Linked DNA regions of Saccharomyces cerevisiae S288C. Changing the gene in region 3 together with the main gene of any one other region gives a genetic interaction. Each region holds a gene or a part of one and is shown on either strand. Other genes may lie near its edges. The genes, in order: SPT10, HEK2, CCR4 and PAN2.

Region 1 (4,355 bases), on a different chromosome or scaffold from region 3:
TGTAGTGTTTTTAGATCTGCCGGCTCCCTGGGATGCTATACCTCATCTGGATTCTGTTATTTCCGTAGACGAAAAGGTCGGATTGTGTTGCTTCTCCCCATGCATTGAGCAAGTAGACAAAACATTGGATGTATTAGAGAAATATGGCTGGACGGATGTTGAAATGGTGGAAATTCAAGGTAGACAGTACGAAAGTCGAAGACAAATGGTCAGATCACTCAATGATGCCCTGGAAAGGTTGAGAGATATTAAGAGGCACAAACTCCAGGGTGTAGAAAGACGCAAGCGGATGTTTAACAATACAATAGATTCTAACGATGAAAAAGTTGGAAAAAGAAACGAGGATGGCGTACCATTAACAGAAAAGGCCAAATTTAATCCTTTTGGCAAAGGTTCTCGAATCAAGGAAGGTGATAGTAATTATAAATGGAAGGAGGTCACAAAGATGGAAGCTGAGATCAAATCCCATACCTCATATTTGACTTTTGCATTTAAAGTTGTGAATAGATCAAGAGATGATGAAAAAGTTAACGAAATTCTTCGATCCACGGAAAAATAATTAAATGATTAACTACTTATATACTTAAATTATATGTTTTTGAAATTTTTAATATGTAAAGCAAATCTGTACGAATAAAGGCTTTTTTCATATTTTATTTGCCTCAATGAAATAAATCGTCTCTTCTCTGGTTCCATAAGGGCATTTTGTTCCTTATTTCTTGCAAAAGCTCACGATCCAAATCAGCGAGAATTAGTTGTGGTCCAACAGTAGAGGGATCGGCATGCGCTATTATTTTACCCCAAGGATCAATGACCATTGAGTGTCCCCAAGATTCTCTCCTGGAGCTTTTTTCGAGAGCGCTCATATGTGATTGTTTCTCCCACTCTGGATCACTGAGATCGTGCATTCCAACCTGCCCTGGCATGAGCACATAGCATTGAGTGTCAACCGCTCTTGCTCTGCCTAGTAACTCCCAATGTGCTTCCCCTGTTTTAATAGTGAACGCACTGGGAAAACATAAGATTTCAGCCCCCATTGATCGTAATTTCAAAGAAAATTCGGGAAAGCGAATATCATAACAAATGGCACTGCCCAATTTTCCCAATGGAGACTCTATAATGTCAGGAATGGCTTTGCCAGGCTGGACAGATTTTGATTCTTTCAATATCGGTCCATTTGGCACGTCTACGTCAAACAAATGCAGTTTTTGGTATTCTTGCAATATTTTCCCTTCATGATCGATATATAATAGAACGTTTCTGACTCGATCATTGCCTTCAAGTAAATCTTGTTCTGAGGGCGGCAAGTGTACCCCAATGGAAACATCTATATTCCGTGAATTATCTCTGACAAGGTCGGTAATGCTTGACTGTAATTGCCGAATAAATTTGGGGCTTTTCTGTGCCAAATACCTGGAATGAAGAGGGTTTTGAGAAAGATAGTCACTTGCCTCAGGGAGAAAAACGACATCCGCCTTTTTTTGAATGGCTTCAGATATCAATTCTTTTACCACTTTTAAGTTTTTGGTCAGGTCAGCGGATGAACATAATTGTGCGACAGCAACCCGTTTTAATTTACTAGTCATTTGCGGTGTTATATTTTATGAAGGAGACTTCATGATGGGTATGAATTTTATTTCACCTCTATTCATTTACTTCTAATGGCCTAGAATCTAGTAAGCTCTGAAAATTCGAGATGCGGATCGTGAGCTAAAATAATAAAAAAATGAAAAATATAAAAGAGCAAAATTCATTACATTGGCGTTAGTTCACTGCTCGGGGGATGAGTAAAAAGTGTACCGATCAAGAACAACTCTAGACTTCCGCCAAAGTGATTATCAACAAAAATCGTAATAATTAGCTTCAATGCTAAATCAGCACACAAGTTCAGTACCGGATGACGAACATCTGCAGATGGCACACCAAAATAGCAGTTCAGAAGTGAGAAATGAGGCAGCGGTCCCAGATCAACTTTTGACTCCTTTACAACCGTATACCATTTTATTGAAAGATGGAGAAACAATAGCTACGATGTATCCTATACCTGCGTATCCTGATTTATTGCCGCTAGGGCTCTTAAATTTCCTTCTAGATGAATTTAACATGGAAGTGGAAAAGGGAGATAGTTTTCCTTATTACGAGACTTTATCACTAGAAGAATTCAAAAATGTCTGGTTTCATAATGATGGTCACGTTTGTATTATGGTGTTAGGCGAAATACCAGAACTGGATTATAGTATGGATACTGAAGCGGACACAAATGATAATTTTGGAACAGAAATAGAAACCACGAAGCACACCACCCAATATAAGAAACGAAAAGAACGTCGCAATTTAAATCTAAGTATGCAGTGGGAGAAGCAATGTCTAGGCATATTTGACCTCAAACCAGCATACCCTGGACGGTCAGCGCATGTGGTCACAGGAACATTTCTGGTCAATGCTGGTATTCGTGGAAAAGGTATTGGGAAAACACTAATGGAAACATTCATAGAATGGTCAAAGAAATTAGGATTTACGTCCTCCTTTTTCCCGTTAATTTACGGAACGAACGTAGGAATCAGAAGAATTTTGGAAGGATTGAACTTTAGGCGGATTGGAAAGCTGCCTGAAGCCGGGATTCTCAAGGGCTTTGATGTCCCAGTAGATTCTTTCATGTATGGTAAAGAGTTCACACATATTACGAAAAGTATAGATTTGTTACGAGATCCTCAAAAGAGTATCGAAATTGGGAAATATGAACGATTAAAGCATTTTCTGGAAACAGGCAAGTATCCTTTACATTGTGATAGAAACGAAAAGGCTAGATTAAGAGTACTTTCCAAAACTCATTCGGTATTGAATGGCAAGTTGATGACAAAAGGAAAAGAAATCATTTATGACACGGATCAACAAATCCAGATTGCATTAGAGATACATTTAATGGAACATTTAGGCATCAACAAGGTGACCTCCAAAATTGGTGAAAAATACCATTGGAGAGGAATCAAGAGTACTGTTTCGGAGGTAATCTCTCGGTGCCAAAAATGCAAGATGAGGTACAAAGACGGGACAGGGGTAATAATTGAACAAAAGAGAGCAGTTAAGCAGGCGCATATGCTACCGACGCAGCATATAGAAACTATCAACAATCCAAGAAAAAGCAAGAAGCATGATAATGCGTTATTGGGACAGGCAATAAATTTCCCTCAAAATATTATTTCCAGTACGCTGAATGATGTGGAGGGTGAACCCACTCCGCCAGACACTAATATCGTACAACCCACATTCCAGAACGCCACGAATAGTCCCGCAACAACAGCTGAAGCCAACGAAGCGAATAAAAGATCCGAGTTTCTTTCCTCAATACAGAGCACGCCACTATTGGACGACGAACAGTCAATGAATTCCTTCAATAGATTCGTGGAGGAAGAAAACTCAAGAAAAAGACGAAAATACTTGGATGTTGCCTCCAACGGAATTGTACCCCATTTAACGAATAACGAATCGCAGGATCACGCGAACCCCGTCAACCGTGATGAACGAGATATGAACCATTCAGTTCCCGATTTAGATAGAAATGACCATACTATAATGAACGATGCTATGTTGAGCCTCGAAGATAACGTCATGGCCGCTCTAGAAATGGTCCAAAAGGAACAACAACAGAAGATAAATCATCGAGGTGAAGATGTGACTGGCCAACAAATCGATTTGAACAACAGTGAAGGTAATGAGAATTCAGTCACTAAGATTGTTAACAACGAATCTAATACATTTACAGAGCACAATTCTAATATTTATTATTAAATTGCGACTCTGCCAGAGACGGTCACATCACCAACCCTAGAAACTATAAAGTTTGTACAGAAAAAAGGTACATTTAATGATGCGTCCACTTTTGGAACAGGGTTGACAAGTCTTAAATCTTATTTCAGAAGTGATTTTTGAAGTAAAATTGGAAACTGAAATTGGAAACAAGGCACTCAACTCAATTATGCTTGCATGACGAAAGGTTCTGTTACAGTTTTACGTTGAAACCTAGGTACTGCAGAAATCCATAATCGGAGATAAATAACTAAGCTTTGTGCTGCAAAATTTTCCAGATTAGGAAACCTGATCCTCAGTGCCCTTTTAAGTACTGCTGTATCTGATGCCGTGAACGAGACACTATTGGCTGCGTGGGCACGTACCAAGTATACTCATCAAAATTTGTCTTAGGTTTTCCGATGCGGAAAATGGCAGCGCACAATTTAAATAGAAAAGGAGTTAAATGTACAGCAGCAAAATCAGTCACTCACGGAGAAAAGCTACGGTAGCGTAACGAAGAGCACATTGCTACTAGCAGCCAGCTAGATAATTGCAGCAGTGTACAG
Region 2 (3,303 bases), on a different chromosome or scaffold from region 3:
TGATTTTCTATAAAGATGTTAATGCGCCAATACGCGCCGACGGGGTAACGCATTAAAATAACATGGTATTTTCGTTTCATTACAAAAAAAGCACTATATGTACTAATAATTATGCTACACTTGTGTTTATATTGCCAGCGTCGATGTTGATGACAACGCAGAGTTCATACGGTTTTGGTTTTGGGCTTCACTTGTCTCAGTAGGTTGAGGGTTTGTATGAAGTTTCAGAGGCTCCGTTAGTAAATGACCCATTCTTTCTATCTTGGTCCTGAGATAACCTTCTATCTCCTTGGAGTCTATGCCTTCACTGGAGTTTGTCCAGTGTATGGGTACCATAGGCACTCGTTCAACGCACTTAAGGTAAGGCGCATGATCTACCTGTTTTATCTTTTCCGGGTTATTTGTCAGCAGCCTGACATTACCGATGCCAAGATCCAGCAAAATAGCCTTACCCAGCGAGAAGTCCCTAGCATCCACGGGATGTTTCAGCATTAAGTTGGCCTGCACTGTGTCAGCACCTAAGTCTTGCAGGTTGTAGGCCTTGAGTTTCTCACCTAACCCGATGCCACGACCCTCTTGTCTTAGATACACGATAACACCATGGCCGTTTCCACCTTTGATGTTGCTTGTGGGTTCGTGGTCGCAAGCGATAAGCCTACCGGCCCTATCGAATTGTTCACCACAATCACAACGGGCGCTCCATGCGTTTTCACCGGTGTAACATTCAGAATGGATCCGTACCAGCGTGTCGTTATGGGCGTCCCATGTAGTGGCTTTGGAAGCTAATAACTCACCTGTACTATCATCAAACTCCAGAGCTAATCCGAGTCTATCGTCTTCGTCTGCCACAGTTCTGCCGGGATACAGTTTGCCAATATAAGCGCCCCTGATCATTCTATCTTGTTGCGTCTCGCACTGTCTTCTACGGAATAGCGAGCGCGACCGTATGTCTTCACCAAACACAATGGCTAGATGTTCCTTGTTGTCCCTGTTGTTACTGTAAAGATGTAAAAAGATATCCGGACCCTGTGTGGTTGGGATACGAGCTCTTGCGACACATTGTACTAGAGGCAAGCCGCCATCGCCGTTCCTGCCATCACCCGTACCACTAACCTCGTATTTGCTGCTATCCTGTTTACTGTTGTCGTAGTTATCTATGGTCATCCTGTAGGTTTGTTGTAGTTTTATGTACGCCACTTTTTGTAATGACTCAATTATTGTCCACGCCAGCACAGCAACTTCTTTATATATACTATAGCGGCGCTGGCGCTCACCCCACAAGAGCGTCCGACTAATTTCTGACAAATCGTAAAAAGAAAAAGAAAAACTCAAAGGAAAAAGAAAAAGTCTCACCCTACACAACTTGTTTTCAAAAACGGTATAGACCCTACTATTTCTGTTTTAGCCCTATGCTAAGTCTAGACATTACCCTATCCCTTTTAACGAAAGCCCTTTTGTTTTTTTTCTGTGTGTCCGGCCGCTCAGCCAAACAACAAACAAGACTATAATCTGGAGCATAAGTACCCGAGCATATATAACTACTTGGCATACGAAGTAAAAGCATATTGCTCCCCACTCCTATCGCGCGTCCCCTGTACAACAAAGCATCAACTTATCGGGTAACTTAGAGACAGCATTAGTATATATACCAGCCATGTCACAGTTCTTCGAAGCTGCTACTCCCGTTGCAATTCCCACAAACAATACCAACGGCGGCTCCAGTGATGCCGGCAGCGCCGCCACTGGCGGCGCCCCCGTTGTTGGCACCACCGCTCAACCCACCATCAATCACAGGCTTTTGCTGTCATTGAAAGAGGCTGCCAAGATCATTGGCACTAAGGGCTCCACCATCTCACGCATAAGAGCTGCAAACGCCGTCAAGATCGGTATTTCTGAAAAGGTGCCCGGTTGCTCTGACAGGATCCTGTCCTGTGCTGGGAACGTAATCAATGTGGCCAATGCCATTGGTGATATTGTTGACGTGCTTAACAAACGGAATCCCGAAAATGAGGACGCAGCTGAGGGCGAAGCGGAAGAGCACTACTACTTCCACTTTTTGAACCATATTTTACCAGCTCCCTCAAAGGACGAGATCAGAGATCTGCAGCAACTGGAGGACATCGGTTATGTGAGGCTCATTGTGGCCAATTCCCATATCTCATCGATTATCGGGAAAGCAGGCGCCACCATCAAGTCCCTGATCAATAAGCACGGCGTTAAGATCGTGGCTTCCAAGGACTTCTTACCTGCTAGCGACGAGAGAATTATCGAGATCCAGGGTTTCCCAGGATCCATCACCAATGTACTTATCGAAATTAGCGAGATCATCTTGAGTGACGTTGACGTCAGATTCAGCACAGAAAGATCTTATTTCCCTCATCTGAAAAAGTCCTCCGGTGAGCCAACTTCCCCTTCTACCTCATCTAACACTAGGATCGAATTGAAGATTCCAGAACTGTATGTAGGCGCCATTATTGGCCGTGGAATGAACAGAATTAAGAATTTGAAAACTTTCACAAAAACCAATATTGTCGTGGAAAGGAAGGATGACGATGATAAAGACGAAAATTTTAGAAAATTCATAATCACAAGTAAATTTCCTAAGAATGTCAAACTTGCTGAGTCCATGCTTTTGAAGAACCTGAATACTGAAATTGAGAAACGTGAAAACTACAAGAGAAAATTGGAAGCTGCCGAAGGAGATGCCACTGTTGTTACTGAACGCTCTGATTCTGCTTCTTTCTTGGAAGAGAAGGAAGAACCTCAAGAGAATCATGATAACAAAGAGGAGCAGTCGTAGTATATACGTGTGCGTGCGCACGTCCCACACAGACAAAACAAACTATCATCTTAACGAATAATGTTGCATCATTACTAGTTTAAACTGTATTTTTATTAAAGGGAAAAAAATGATTCAATATGTATATATTTATTCATGTATATGTATTTTGAATTAAAAAAAAACGTTTTATAAATACTCAATAAAGCCGTTGTATTTTCTTTATTACTATCGAAATTCTTGCTTTAAACATTTCGCGCATCGCCGGCTAGAGGCACAGAGAGGGAAGGGGAAAATAACATGAAAAAATCGTAAGTTTCTAGGCAATGGTATAAACAAATAAACAATAAACATGCAATTACAGCTCTAGAACACATATTATCTTCATGGATGAATGATAAACTCCAAGAAGAGCATAACGAAAAAGACACCACTTCACAAATTAATGGTTTCACGCCGCCGCATATGAGTATAGACTTTCATTCAAATAACAATAGCAATATCATCGAGACTATTGGCGTTTC
Region 3 (4,973 bases):
GATATCTCCTCTGAATGCGTATCGGCCAGTGCAGGCTCTGGCACCGCAAGGATTGGCTTCTTGATGGTATCAGTGTCCGCACTAGTACTCATTTTTGCAATCTGGTATGCTTTCTTGCGTTTGATGATAAGCTGTCGCCGTAACGTAAATCATTCATCCTTTCCTATGATTTTTTAAGTCAATTTTTTTTTCTTTTTCGGGAAATTAATTCTGTTTTTGGCATTAATAACAACAAGAAGAATTAAGGATTCGTTATAGAATACAAGATTCTTGGTTTGGTTAAATAATTTTGGCTCTCTTAAATATTATAAAAAGATACTTAAGTAAGAAAGAAACAGGACGAAAAAGATACGCAAAAGAGAGAGAGAGAGAGAGAGAAAAAAAAGATGAGAAAAAAAAGTATAACGTGAAGGCTTTATGGGAAGTGCGGTGAGATTGGGATCGTTTCAATTTTATAATGAGGTAGTGTACAGAGAGGAGGGAGGGAGTGGGATGAAAGTGTGCGGTTTATACTTTCTTACTGCCTGTGTTTGTCTTCATAAATTCAAATCTTGCTAACAATGGTATATGGTCACTGGGGAATTTGTCGTTGGGGAACCCGATAAACTTACTCACGTATTCAGGGTCCACTTCACCCAATAGCCCACGCACCCTTAGAGCATGTGTAGAAAACCATATATAGTCGATAACATCTGTGAATGACGGTGTGAAATTGGTGAATGGTAGTTCTCCGATACAATTATAACTTGATTTGAGAGCCAAGTTATGTGAGAAATTTTTCTCCGACATGTAACCGAAATCTCTACCATTTCCCTCTTGATGTATTTGGACACGGCCTGTATTTATCAATTCGTATACGGCGGAGTTGATGTATGAATTGAAGTCACCACAAATGAGCACAGGAAATTTCTTAATGTCCTGTCTAAAATTGTGCGATGTCTCCTCCTTTAGCAGCGTTTCCAGATGATCTAACAGGACACCTACTTGGAATGTCTTGACATCATTAAATTTTGGATCCCAGTGCAAATGCGTGGTGACCGCCCATATGGTGTCGCCACTAGGAATGTGTTGTAGCTTTAAGAACAGTGCAACGTTGTCTTTGTTCATTGCACGGTTTAAATAATCTTCAGTTCTTTGGAACTTCTTGTGTTTCATCCAAGCACCGCTGAAATCCATGGCGTCTTTGGTGATCAACTTGAATTGGTCCCTTTTGAAAAAAATGCAACACCCGTCCACTTTCTTGGAGTCCTTGGAATGCATGGTCTTGGCTCTTGCCTTTGCATGGAAGATGCCTGTATAACCGTGCTTGTCCAATAGGGGCACCCAATACTCTTCAAAAGTCTTAGACTCCACTTCTTGTAAACACAACAGATCACTGTCGTACGAGAGAATCTGCTCCTTTAATTTATTGCGCCTGTAATCCCAACTTAACGCCCACGACGGTGTGTAACGGTACATTTTTGGGGTGGCATAGTGTTGACATAAGGTGTTGTAGGATAAGACGGTGAACGTCCTCTTGGCTAAATCGGTGGCCAGATGCTCAGTGGATTGCTGCAAAGAATCGTACTCCCTCTGTGGTTCCCCATCGGTATTGATTTCGATGAACCTACGTTCATGCGGTAAGGGAATCTCTGGTCTGTTGTCCCTTAGGTAGAAAATCAATCCCGTGACAGATTTTTCTGTAAGGATCTTTAAAAACTGTTTTTCTAAGGGGTTTCCTTCTACACCAAGAAACTGAAGGTTACACAGGTTCCCAAACTCCCATGGTAATGTGGTGACCATGTTATCAAAAAAGTAGAAGTATTTCAATTGGAAACATGAGCCTAGTTCCGCTGGTAGAGATGTTAACCTATTATGCGACAGGTCCAAAACGCGTAGGTTGCTTAGGTTCTTGATCTCCGCTGGCAGTTCCGTGAGGCTATTGCCATTCAAATATAGTCTCGTTAGAAAATCGTACTTGAAGATGTTGGCGCTGATATTGAAGATTTGCAAGTTGGACAAATCTAGCGCGTGCCATAATTGGTCGTCGTATTTCGAGTCCTTGGGCATGACCATTCTGTTTTCAATGTCGTCATCTTCGTCGATGCTGTACTGAGACAGTTTCTTGTGTTGTAAGAGCGCCTGGTTGGCTTCGTCCTTGCCATTAGCAAACAGCTCTATCTTGGGAGTCAATGGTGTAGAAACTGCACTGTTAGTTGCCGTGCCTGAGGGAGTGCTATCTCCCGTAGGTTGTTGTTTCTTTGCTGTCTTGCTGTCGGTGAGAGTGTCGGCCATTTCCATCAAGGCTTGCTTTGTGCAGTCTACCAGTGATTTGGAGGCTTCTGCAATGTGAGATTGCTGGAAATCGGTGGGCTGCAAAGCTGGTGGTGCAGCCTGAGGTCCGGGGCCAAATGGGCCCGGGACCTGCTGCTGTGCCTGTTGCTGCGCTTGTTGCTGAGCTTGCTGAGCCTGTTGTGTAGCCAAATACTTCTTCATAGCGTTTTGTCTAGCATAAATGTTGGGTTGCCCCAGAGATTGTGCGGACACTGCAGCCAGATGCAATTGAAGCTTCCAGATCGGATTGTTTAGTAAAGAAGGGTCATCCAAGTGCGGGTGTAATAAAGGGTTACTGGCGTTCACATTGATGTTCACAGGCGTACCAACGGTAGGAACCATCCCTATAGAATTTACTGCGGCTGTGGAGGCATTCATCATCACCCCGCTTCCACCGCCGTTGTTGTTGTTGTTGTTGTTGTTGTTATTGTTGTTATTGTTGTTATCCATGTTCATATTGAGCATGTTCGCGTTCCCATTAGCCAATTGGTCGAGCAACTGGCGCGAGTTGTTGTTGCTGGAAGTGTGTACATCGCTGTTGTTCATGAGTCCCGGTGGAGGTATCCCGGTGAGCTGGTTCATGTGTAGCTGCTGCTGTAGAGCGTTTGGTGTACCCTTTCCTAGTAGCCCGGCATGCTGCTGTTGCTGCTGTTGCTGTTGCTGCTGCGGGCCCACATTAGGGTAGCCTAGTAAAGAAGGGTCGTTCATTAGCGGTAGTTTGCAGGGATAACGTCAGTCGGAGTTCCCTTGCTGGTGTCCCTTATGCTGTGCCCTTGTGCTTGAGAACCTTCTCTAAGGTGGAAACTTTTTCAAATTTTTTCGTTGTTGGCCCGTTTTTCGCAAGTACGGGCGATAACAAAAGGCCTAAACGGCTACTTTACCTTTGAGATCTACCACGATGAGAATTAATGCTGAATGGACATCTATGTATATGATAGTGGGTATATAGTTACTTATCAGTGCTAGAGCACGATCCACGTGGTGGCACATCCGCCAAACACGCGAGGTTTTCCAGAGTATTGGCCCACGAGCTGCAGTCCAGGCTGGGAGCCCTTTTGCGGGCCGCAGTTGCCATGCTCTCCCCAGCCCCAGCAGTATACATTGTAACAGTGAGACTTGCCTTCTTGATTAGCAGTAGTTAGAATACCGTGCTCACTCCCGGTTGCAACACCGACAATAGGGAAGTCTAGGCGCTCTTGCGGGAAGAGTTGGGAATGTGTGCCCCTACCAAACGACTCTACCGTATTGAGGCGCGCATTCCACAGGTGGATCGAGGTCCACATGCACAGTACCACTAGATTGTGTCTTTTTTGCTGTTGTTTGAGCTCGAACCCAGTGGGCAGGCGACCGGATGCGTGCACTATGCGGCCGCCCTCGTCCACTATGACCATGAAGTCCTTGCCCATGGCCACGTAGTCTACGGCCACAGACCCGGTATCGTACACCAATACGGGCTCTTTCAGTGATCGGGATTTGGGCTCTTGCAATTGACACTTTGTGTTGCTGCCCCAGCCGTATACTCGGGTGCCTTGCACCACCACAAAGTTCTGGAAACATCCGTATACTGCGATGCGCTCATCGTTGGAATTCAATGGCACATGTTGCTGAGTGAACTCGTAGCAACCGCCTCCTCTCTGCCATACACGGCCATCAGCATCCACAATAACTGTCGTGTCCCAGCCGCACGCCACATCCACCACGGGTGCCGGTACTTCCACGGGCCTCCAGTCATGCACCTGCCGCAGTGCTTGCGCACTATCCAGTTCTCCCCGTCTGTTATCTCCACATCCTACCAGATTCCCGTCATTTGTCAGCATCACGCTGTGGTTCCCACCGCACGCTATCTTCCTGACTATTGCTCCATCATCTCCTGGCACAGACCTCTGTGGGGTATCCATATCCTCATCGTGCCCCAGTCCCAGTTGCCTTTGCCCATTAGACCCAAACGCATACACACAACTCATCGATACAAGCCTGTTATAGCCTTTAATGATCACATTCCATCACTTGCGCTTTGGATCTGCCTGCATTATCAAGGCTCAAACGGCTGCGTTACCCCCGTCGCCGCGAAATTTTTCATAATTTTTCACTTTGTAGGATTAAAAGAGATCATGAGCCCATCTCGCAATGCAACACGTAACTTAAATCAGTACTGGCGTGTGCTATAGTGCTCTATATTCGAGTTTGTTGCTACTGGTGGACACCCGACTATCTACAGTAAGGAACGTAAACAAGAAAAAGAGAGAAAATACGCTATAGTTGAAAACATGAGTGGTTCGCATTCAAATGATGAGGATGACGTAGTGCAAGTGCCCGAGACGTCCTCTCCCACCAAGGTAGCATCGTCGTCTCCCTTAAAGCCTACTTCGCCAACAGTTCCGGATGCAAGTGTGGCGTCTTTGAGAAGCAGGTTTACTTTCAAGCCTTCAGATCCCAGCGAAGGAGCTCATACTTCGAAGCCGCTCCCATCTGGGAGTCCTGAGGTAGCACTGGTTAACCTTGCGAGAGAGTTCCCCGATTTCTCTCAAACTCTGGTGCAGGCTGTTTTCAAATCTAACTCTTTTAACTTACAGTCTGCCAGGGAACGTCTTACAAGATTGAGGCAGCAAAGACAAAATTGGACATGGAACAAGAACGCATCTCCCAAGAAGTCAGAAACC
Region 4 (5,689 bases), on a different chromosome or scaffold from region 3:
TCTATCAGTTTGGTATCTAAAAACCCTACCCCCACTTCATTTATAAATTCCCGCAAAGTGTAGTCTTGAGTAGGCAGGGCTATACCAGACTGCCCTTCCTTGTCTATTTCGGGGAGTCTTGTTTTCTCAACTATTTTGTTCCCGTTATCATCGACATTTTCCCCATCTTCTTCATCGTCTGTCGCGGTTTGCATGCCAGTATCCTCAGTACCGGGTTCAATAGTGAACACATCATTGGATCTCGTCCCAATCTTATTATCAACATCGCTAAATGTAATGGGTGACATTTTCTCCATCATCTCTAAATCACCATCATTGTCCTCTCCACTAGTATCCTTTGCCTCTTTGACTGGTGTCGTAACCGATGCAGCATAATCAGAGACAGTATCCAATTTGCGCCTCTTATTAGAAGAAAACGCATGCTTTTCGCTGGGAGATTCGTCAATGTGGTGATTGTCGCGGTCAAAGTTTGTCTGTATTTGCGTGAGTTCCATCTCATTACCATCATTATTGATGTTATTGTCGCTGTGTAGACTCATAGGGTTCTGTGGATCAGCATGGAATATATCTGTAATTTCCATCGGCTGAGAGGAATTCGTCTTATTTTCAGATTTTGAAAGGTCGCTTTTATCGTTACTTCTTTCCACGCTATAGTCAGAGGATTTCCCGGTACTGCGTGAGACACTGTTTGGAACGTAAGGTTTAGACTCATATTCTGTCAGATCTATTGGTTCGCCCTCTACTGTATCTTTTGAAATTGAATCATAGTCGTGTACATTATGTATGGCCGTCAATTCCATTGTTTCCTCTCGCACTGCCTCGACATCATCGATTTGTTGACTTGACTCAATGCTTTCTCCCTCTACATCTGGATTTTTCTGTCTGATACTCCGAGGAAAAACTTCAGTCATTTCCATTGATGTGGGATCATGCTGTGAAGCCTTGTTACTATCCGGTGTCGCCACTATAGGTTCTGTCAATTCCATCCCAGATGTATCGGGATCTTCTTCTGCCGCTGTTTTTTCTTCCGTACGAGCATCATCGATTTGAGTAGACGTTACAAGAGGCTCTTCTTGACTAGATATTTTAGTAGGGCTGTTGGTTGAAGTTTTTCTACGTCTTGGTTCCTTAATTTCATTGTTTTGTTCAGGTACGAAAGTAAAACTATGCAACGTAACATCGGGAGCGAATGAAACTCTTCTCTTTACCATACTCTGTAAATTAGAAGTATTGATCCTGGATGTCGTGTTACTACCATCTAATACTTCTTTTTTTGTTATAATCCTGGTAGGAATACGAACACCAGGGTTCTCTAGAAAGCTTGAAGTCATTTGCGAGCTTTGGTTCTGCTTAAGAATGCCTTTCCCGGGCCCCGCATCCTTCTCTCTACCCCCAATCCGGCTTCTTTCATCCACATTCATTGTCAGCCCACTTAGATATCACAAGGGACGTCGTAATCACGGTTACTAAGTACTTAATCACTGAGTGTAGTGTCTAATTAGCCTTTGTTTTGTTATGTGTTTATCTATTTGTATTAAAACGGGGCGGGTGGCGCCTTCTCTTTCGCGTATTGTTTTTTTCAATGAGAGAATAACGAAAAAGAAACATGCTTTTAACGTTAGCATATATAGGAAATAACGTACTATGTGGGCATAGAGGAACACAAGAAATAGAATCTCCAAGAGACACATCATTACCATATAATACACGTTCATTTTAACTAGAATTTTTACATTCTGAAAATTTTTTTATTTGCTTATTTTTTGTTTTGAACTGCATTACACCCTAAGAGATTACTAGAACACAATTGCTATACTGAGTTTCTGAATGGTGAATGTATTATGAATAATTGGCAACATTTCTTCAACAATCCAGTTGATCTTTCGGAACATTTGAAGAAGCCATACTTTCGCTTCGATAATAGGGATAAGGAAATTACAGCGATTAGCTTCGATGAGAAGGCAAACTTAATTTGGAGTGGAGACAGCTATGGTTGCATTTCGTCATATGATCCAACTTTTCAACTTTATACAAGATATAGGGGCCACATAGGTGGAAATTCCGTGAAGGATATTCTCAGTCATCGGGATGGTATTTTATCTATTAGTGAAGATTCCTTACACTTTGCTAATAGAAGAGGTGTTACTAAATTGAACCTCACTAGCATTGATATTGCTGCATTTAGCGAATTGAACACTATGTGCTATTCTCCTCATTCACTGAAAAACAATATCTACTGTGGTGGTGACAACACAAATTGGGGAATTGCGTCCATTGACTTGAACAGAGGTTGCTTAGATTCCCTCTTGAATTACTCATCTAAAGTGAAGTTAATGTGCTCTAATAATAAAGTTTTGTCTATCGGAAGACAAACAGGGACTGTGGATTTGCTAGATCCAACATCGAATCGTACTATCAAATCATTTAATGCACACTCTGCATCCATATCCGCTATGGATTTACGGGATAACACCTTGGTTACAGTAGGGAAGTCCAAAAGATTTTATAACTTATACGCTGACCCATTTGTGAATGTTTACGACTTGAGAACAATGCGTCAACTCCCTCCTGTTTCCTTTTCTAAAGGAACAACTATGGGATCTGGAGGCGCAGATTTTGTTCAATTACATCCTTTGCTTCCTACTGTTATGATCGTCGCCTCAAGTTCTGGTTCGTTTGATTTCATCGACCTTTCCAATCCAACTTTAAGAACACAATATGTTCATCCTTGCCAGTCGATTAAAAAGTTATGTTTGTCCCCCAATGGTGACGTATTGGGTATACTAGAAGCTGATAATCACCTAGATACATGGAGAAGATCATCAAACAACATGGGAATGTTTACCAATACCCCTGAAATGCTAGCATATCCTGATTATTTTAATGACATTACCTCTGACGGCCCAATATCTGTCGACGATGAAACATATCCATTGAGTTCTGTGGGGATGCCGTACTATCTTGATAAACTTTTGTCTGCATGGCCCCCTGTAGTGTTTAAAAGTGAAGGTACCATACCGCAATTAACAGGTAAGTCACCCTTACCATCGAGCGGCAAATTAAAAAGTAACCTTGCTGTGATCTCGAGCCAAAATGAGAAGTTGAGCACACAAGAATTTCCTTTGTTAAGATATGATCGCACCAAATACGGTATGAGAAATGCTATACCAGATTACGTTTGTCTAAGAGATATAAGGAAACAGATAACAAGCGGTTTAGAAACCAGCGATATACAGACATATACCTCAATCAACAAGTACGAAGTACCCCCTGCATACAGTAGACTTCCACTGACATCAGGTAGATTTGGTACTGATAATTTTGATTTTACGCCCTTTAATAACACTGAGTATTCAGGATTGGATCCAGATGTTGATAATCACTACACAAATGCTATCATACAATTGTATCGCTTTATTCCAGAAATGTTTAATTTCGTTGTTGGGTGTTTGAAAGACGAGAATTTTGAAACAACGTTGCTAACTGATCTAGGCTACCTCTTTGACATGATGGAAAGATCACATGGAAAAATATGTAGTTCTTCCAATTTTCAGGCGTCATTGAAATCCTTAACTGATAAAAGACAATTAGAAAACGGTGAACCACAAGAACATTTAGAAGAGTATTTAGAATCGCTGTGCATAAGGGAAAGTATCGAGGATTTTAATTCTTCTGAAAGTATTAAACGCAATATGCCTCAAAAATTTAACAGATTCCTGCTCTCGCAACTTATTAAAGAGGAAGCGCAGACAGTCAACCATAATATCACCCTAAATCAATGCTTTGGTTTGGAAACGGAAATACGAACAGAGTGTAGCTGTGATCACTACGACACTACCGTCAAACTTCTACCCTCCTTATCAATATCAGGAATCAACAAAACCGTAATCAAACAATTGAACAAGAAAAGCAATGGACAGAATATTTTGCCTTATATTGAATATGCCATGAAAAATGTAACCCAAAAGAACAGTATTTGCCCAACCTGCGGCAAAACCGAAACTATCACCCAGGAGTGTACTGTCAAGAATTTACCTTCAGTGTTGTCATTAGAATTATCACTATTAGATACCGAATTTTCCAATATAAGGTCGTCGAAAAACTGGTTAACTAGTGAATTTTATGGAAGCATCATTAAAAACAAGGCAGTTCTAAGATCGACGGCGTCCGAATTGAAGGGCACAAGCCACATATTTAAATACGAATTGAATGGTTACGTGGCTAAAATCACTGATAACAATAACGAGACGCGTCTAGTAACATATGTCAAAAAATATAATCCAAAAGAGAATTGCTTCAAGTGGCTCATGTTTAATGATTATTTGGTTGTTGAGATAACAGAGGAAGAGGCGCTTAAAATGACATACCCTTGGAAAACACCAGAAATTATCATATATTGTGATGCGGAAGAATTACGAAAACCTTTCTTTTCTGTTGATACGTATTCCATCAACTATGACATACTTTTCCGTGATTATTTCGCAAACGGAATAAGAGATACTGCAAGACGTGAATATAAGTTATTAACACATGATGAGGCACCTAAATCTGGAACCTTGGTTGCCATTGATGCCGAATTTGTCTCATTACAAAGTGAACTATGTGAAATCGATCATCAAGGAATCAGAAGTATTATTCGACCTAAAAGAACTGCTTTGGCCAGAATATCCATTATTAGAGGCGAAGAAGGAGAACTGTATGGAGTACCATTTGTCGATGATTATGTGGTAAACACGAACCACATAGAAGACTATTTGACAAGATATAGTGGGATTCTTCCTGGTGACTTGGACCCTGAAAAGAGTACCAAAAGGCTTGTGAGAAGAAACGTTGTATATCGAAAAGTCTGGCTTTTAATGCAGCTCGGATGCGTATTTGTTGGTCATGGTTTGAATAATGACTTCAAACACATTAATATTAATGTCCCAAGAAACCAAATTCGCGACACTGCCATATATTTTCTACAAGGAAAGAGATATCTTTCATTGCGTTATCTGGCATATGTGTTGTTAGGAATGAATATCCAAGAGGGAAATCACGATTCAATTGAAGATGCCCATACTGCCTTGATTCTTTACAAAAAATATCTCCACCTGAAAGAAAAAGCTATCTTTGAGAAAGTACTGAACAGCGTGTACGAAGAAGGAAGAGCCCATAATTTCAAAGTTCCAGAAACTTCAAAGGGATAATATGGTGCAGTGCCTTTCACGTAATCTCAAGAGCCACCAGCGCACCACTGGTTGGAAAAGTATACAAAAAATTCAAAAAAATTATAAAATGTTACCGGTGTTTGTGTACTATTATATATACTGTAATCAACATATGCAAACATTTTGAAACAGGTCTTGTTAAACCTTTTTGTCATCACACGCCAGAATTAGACTTCTTTGTGCGATGAAGTAATATCTATTACCAGAAAAGAAGGTCTTACCCTTGTTTGGCCTCTCATATGTTTCCTACTTGTTTCCCGGGCGTCCGTAACGAGTACTGACTGTATGGCGAAAAGTTGCCAGAAATGTTCATTTTTGTTTCTGCCAATTTCAGGAAAGGGTAACGTCATTACAGTTAGTTAACGTTCGAACTTACTTATAGAAGTGCCTTGGCTCATATGCAATGTACCCAGAGTAACATTAAGGAGTGAAGAGGTACAGTGACTTGGTTTTGAGTTAAGGCCATCTTTTACTGTATA

The links.
Region 1: of CCR4 (region 3) and SPT10, a mutation in one rescues a mutant of the other (synthetic rescue), as found in Saccharomyces cerevisiae (3 studies listed by BioGRID).
Region 2: mutations in CCR4 (region 3) and HEK2 impair growth when combined (synthetic growth defect), as found in Saccharomyces cerevisiae (4 studies listed by BioGRID, with this or other methods).
Region 4: mutations in CCR4 (region 3) and PAN2 impair growth when combined (synthetic growth defect), as found in Saccharomyces cerevisiae (5 studies listed by BioGRID, with this or other methods).

What each region holds. Positions count from the first base shown.
Region 1 is NC_001142.9:181,732-186,086, reverse strand, and holds SPT10 (Spt10p), read left to right. Parts: upstream 1-1,866; coding exon 1,867-3,789; downstream 3,790-4,355. Other genes in the region: tRNA 1-methyladenosine methyltransferase subunit GCD14, read left to right, coding at 1-559; NIT2 (putative hydrolase), read right to left, coding at 663-1,586. UniProt on the Saccharomyces cerevisiae protein: Required for normal transcription at a number of loci in yeast. Affects transcription at Ty1 elements, at PHO5, STE6 and ADH2.
Region 2 is NC_001134.8:158,530-161,832, forward strand, and holds HEK2 (Hek2p), read left to right. Parts: upstream 1-1,654; coding exon 1,655-2,800; downstream 2,801-3,303. Other genes in the region: RIB1 (GTP cyclohydrolase II), read right to left, coding at 127-1,164; SHE1 (She1p), read left to right, coding at 3,170-3,303. UniProt on the Saccharomyces cerevisiae protein: RNA-binding protein involved in the correct localization of transcripts in the cell. RNA localization is a widespread mechanism for achieving localized protein synthesis.
Region 3 is NC_001133.9:110,339-115,311, forward strand, and holds CCR4 (CCR4-NOT core exoribonuclease subunit CCR4), read right to left. Parts: upstream 3,022-4,973; coding exon 508-3,021; downstream 1-507. Other genes in the region: nucleoside transmembrane transporter FUN26, read right to left, coding at 1-92; ATS1 (Ats1p), read right to left, coding at 3,276-4,277; DNA-dependent ATPase FUN30, read left to right, coding at 4,581-4,973. UniProt on the Saccharomyces cerevisiae protein: Acts as a catalytic component of the CCR4-NOT core complex, which in the nucleus seems to be a general transcription factor, and in the cytoplasm the major mRNA deadenylase involved in mRNA turnover.
Region 4 is NC_001139.9:330,618-336,306, reverse strand, and holds PAN2 (poly(A)-specific ribonuclease), read left to right. Parts: upstream 1-1,841; coding exon 1,842-5,189; downstream 5,190-5,689. Other genes in the region: kinetochore-microtubule binding complex subunit SPC105, read right to left, coding at 1-1,421. UniProt on the Saccharomyces cerevisiae protein: Catalytic subunit of the poly(A)-nuclease (PAN) deadenylation complex, one of two cytoplasmic mRNA deadenylases involved in mRNA turnover. PAN specifically shortens poly(A) tails of RNA and the activity is stimulated by poly(A)-binding protein PAB1.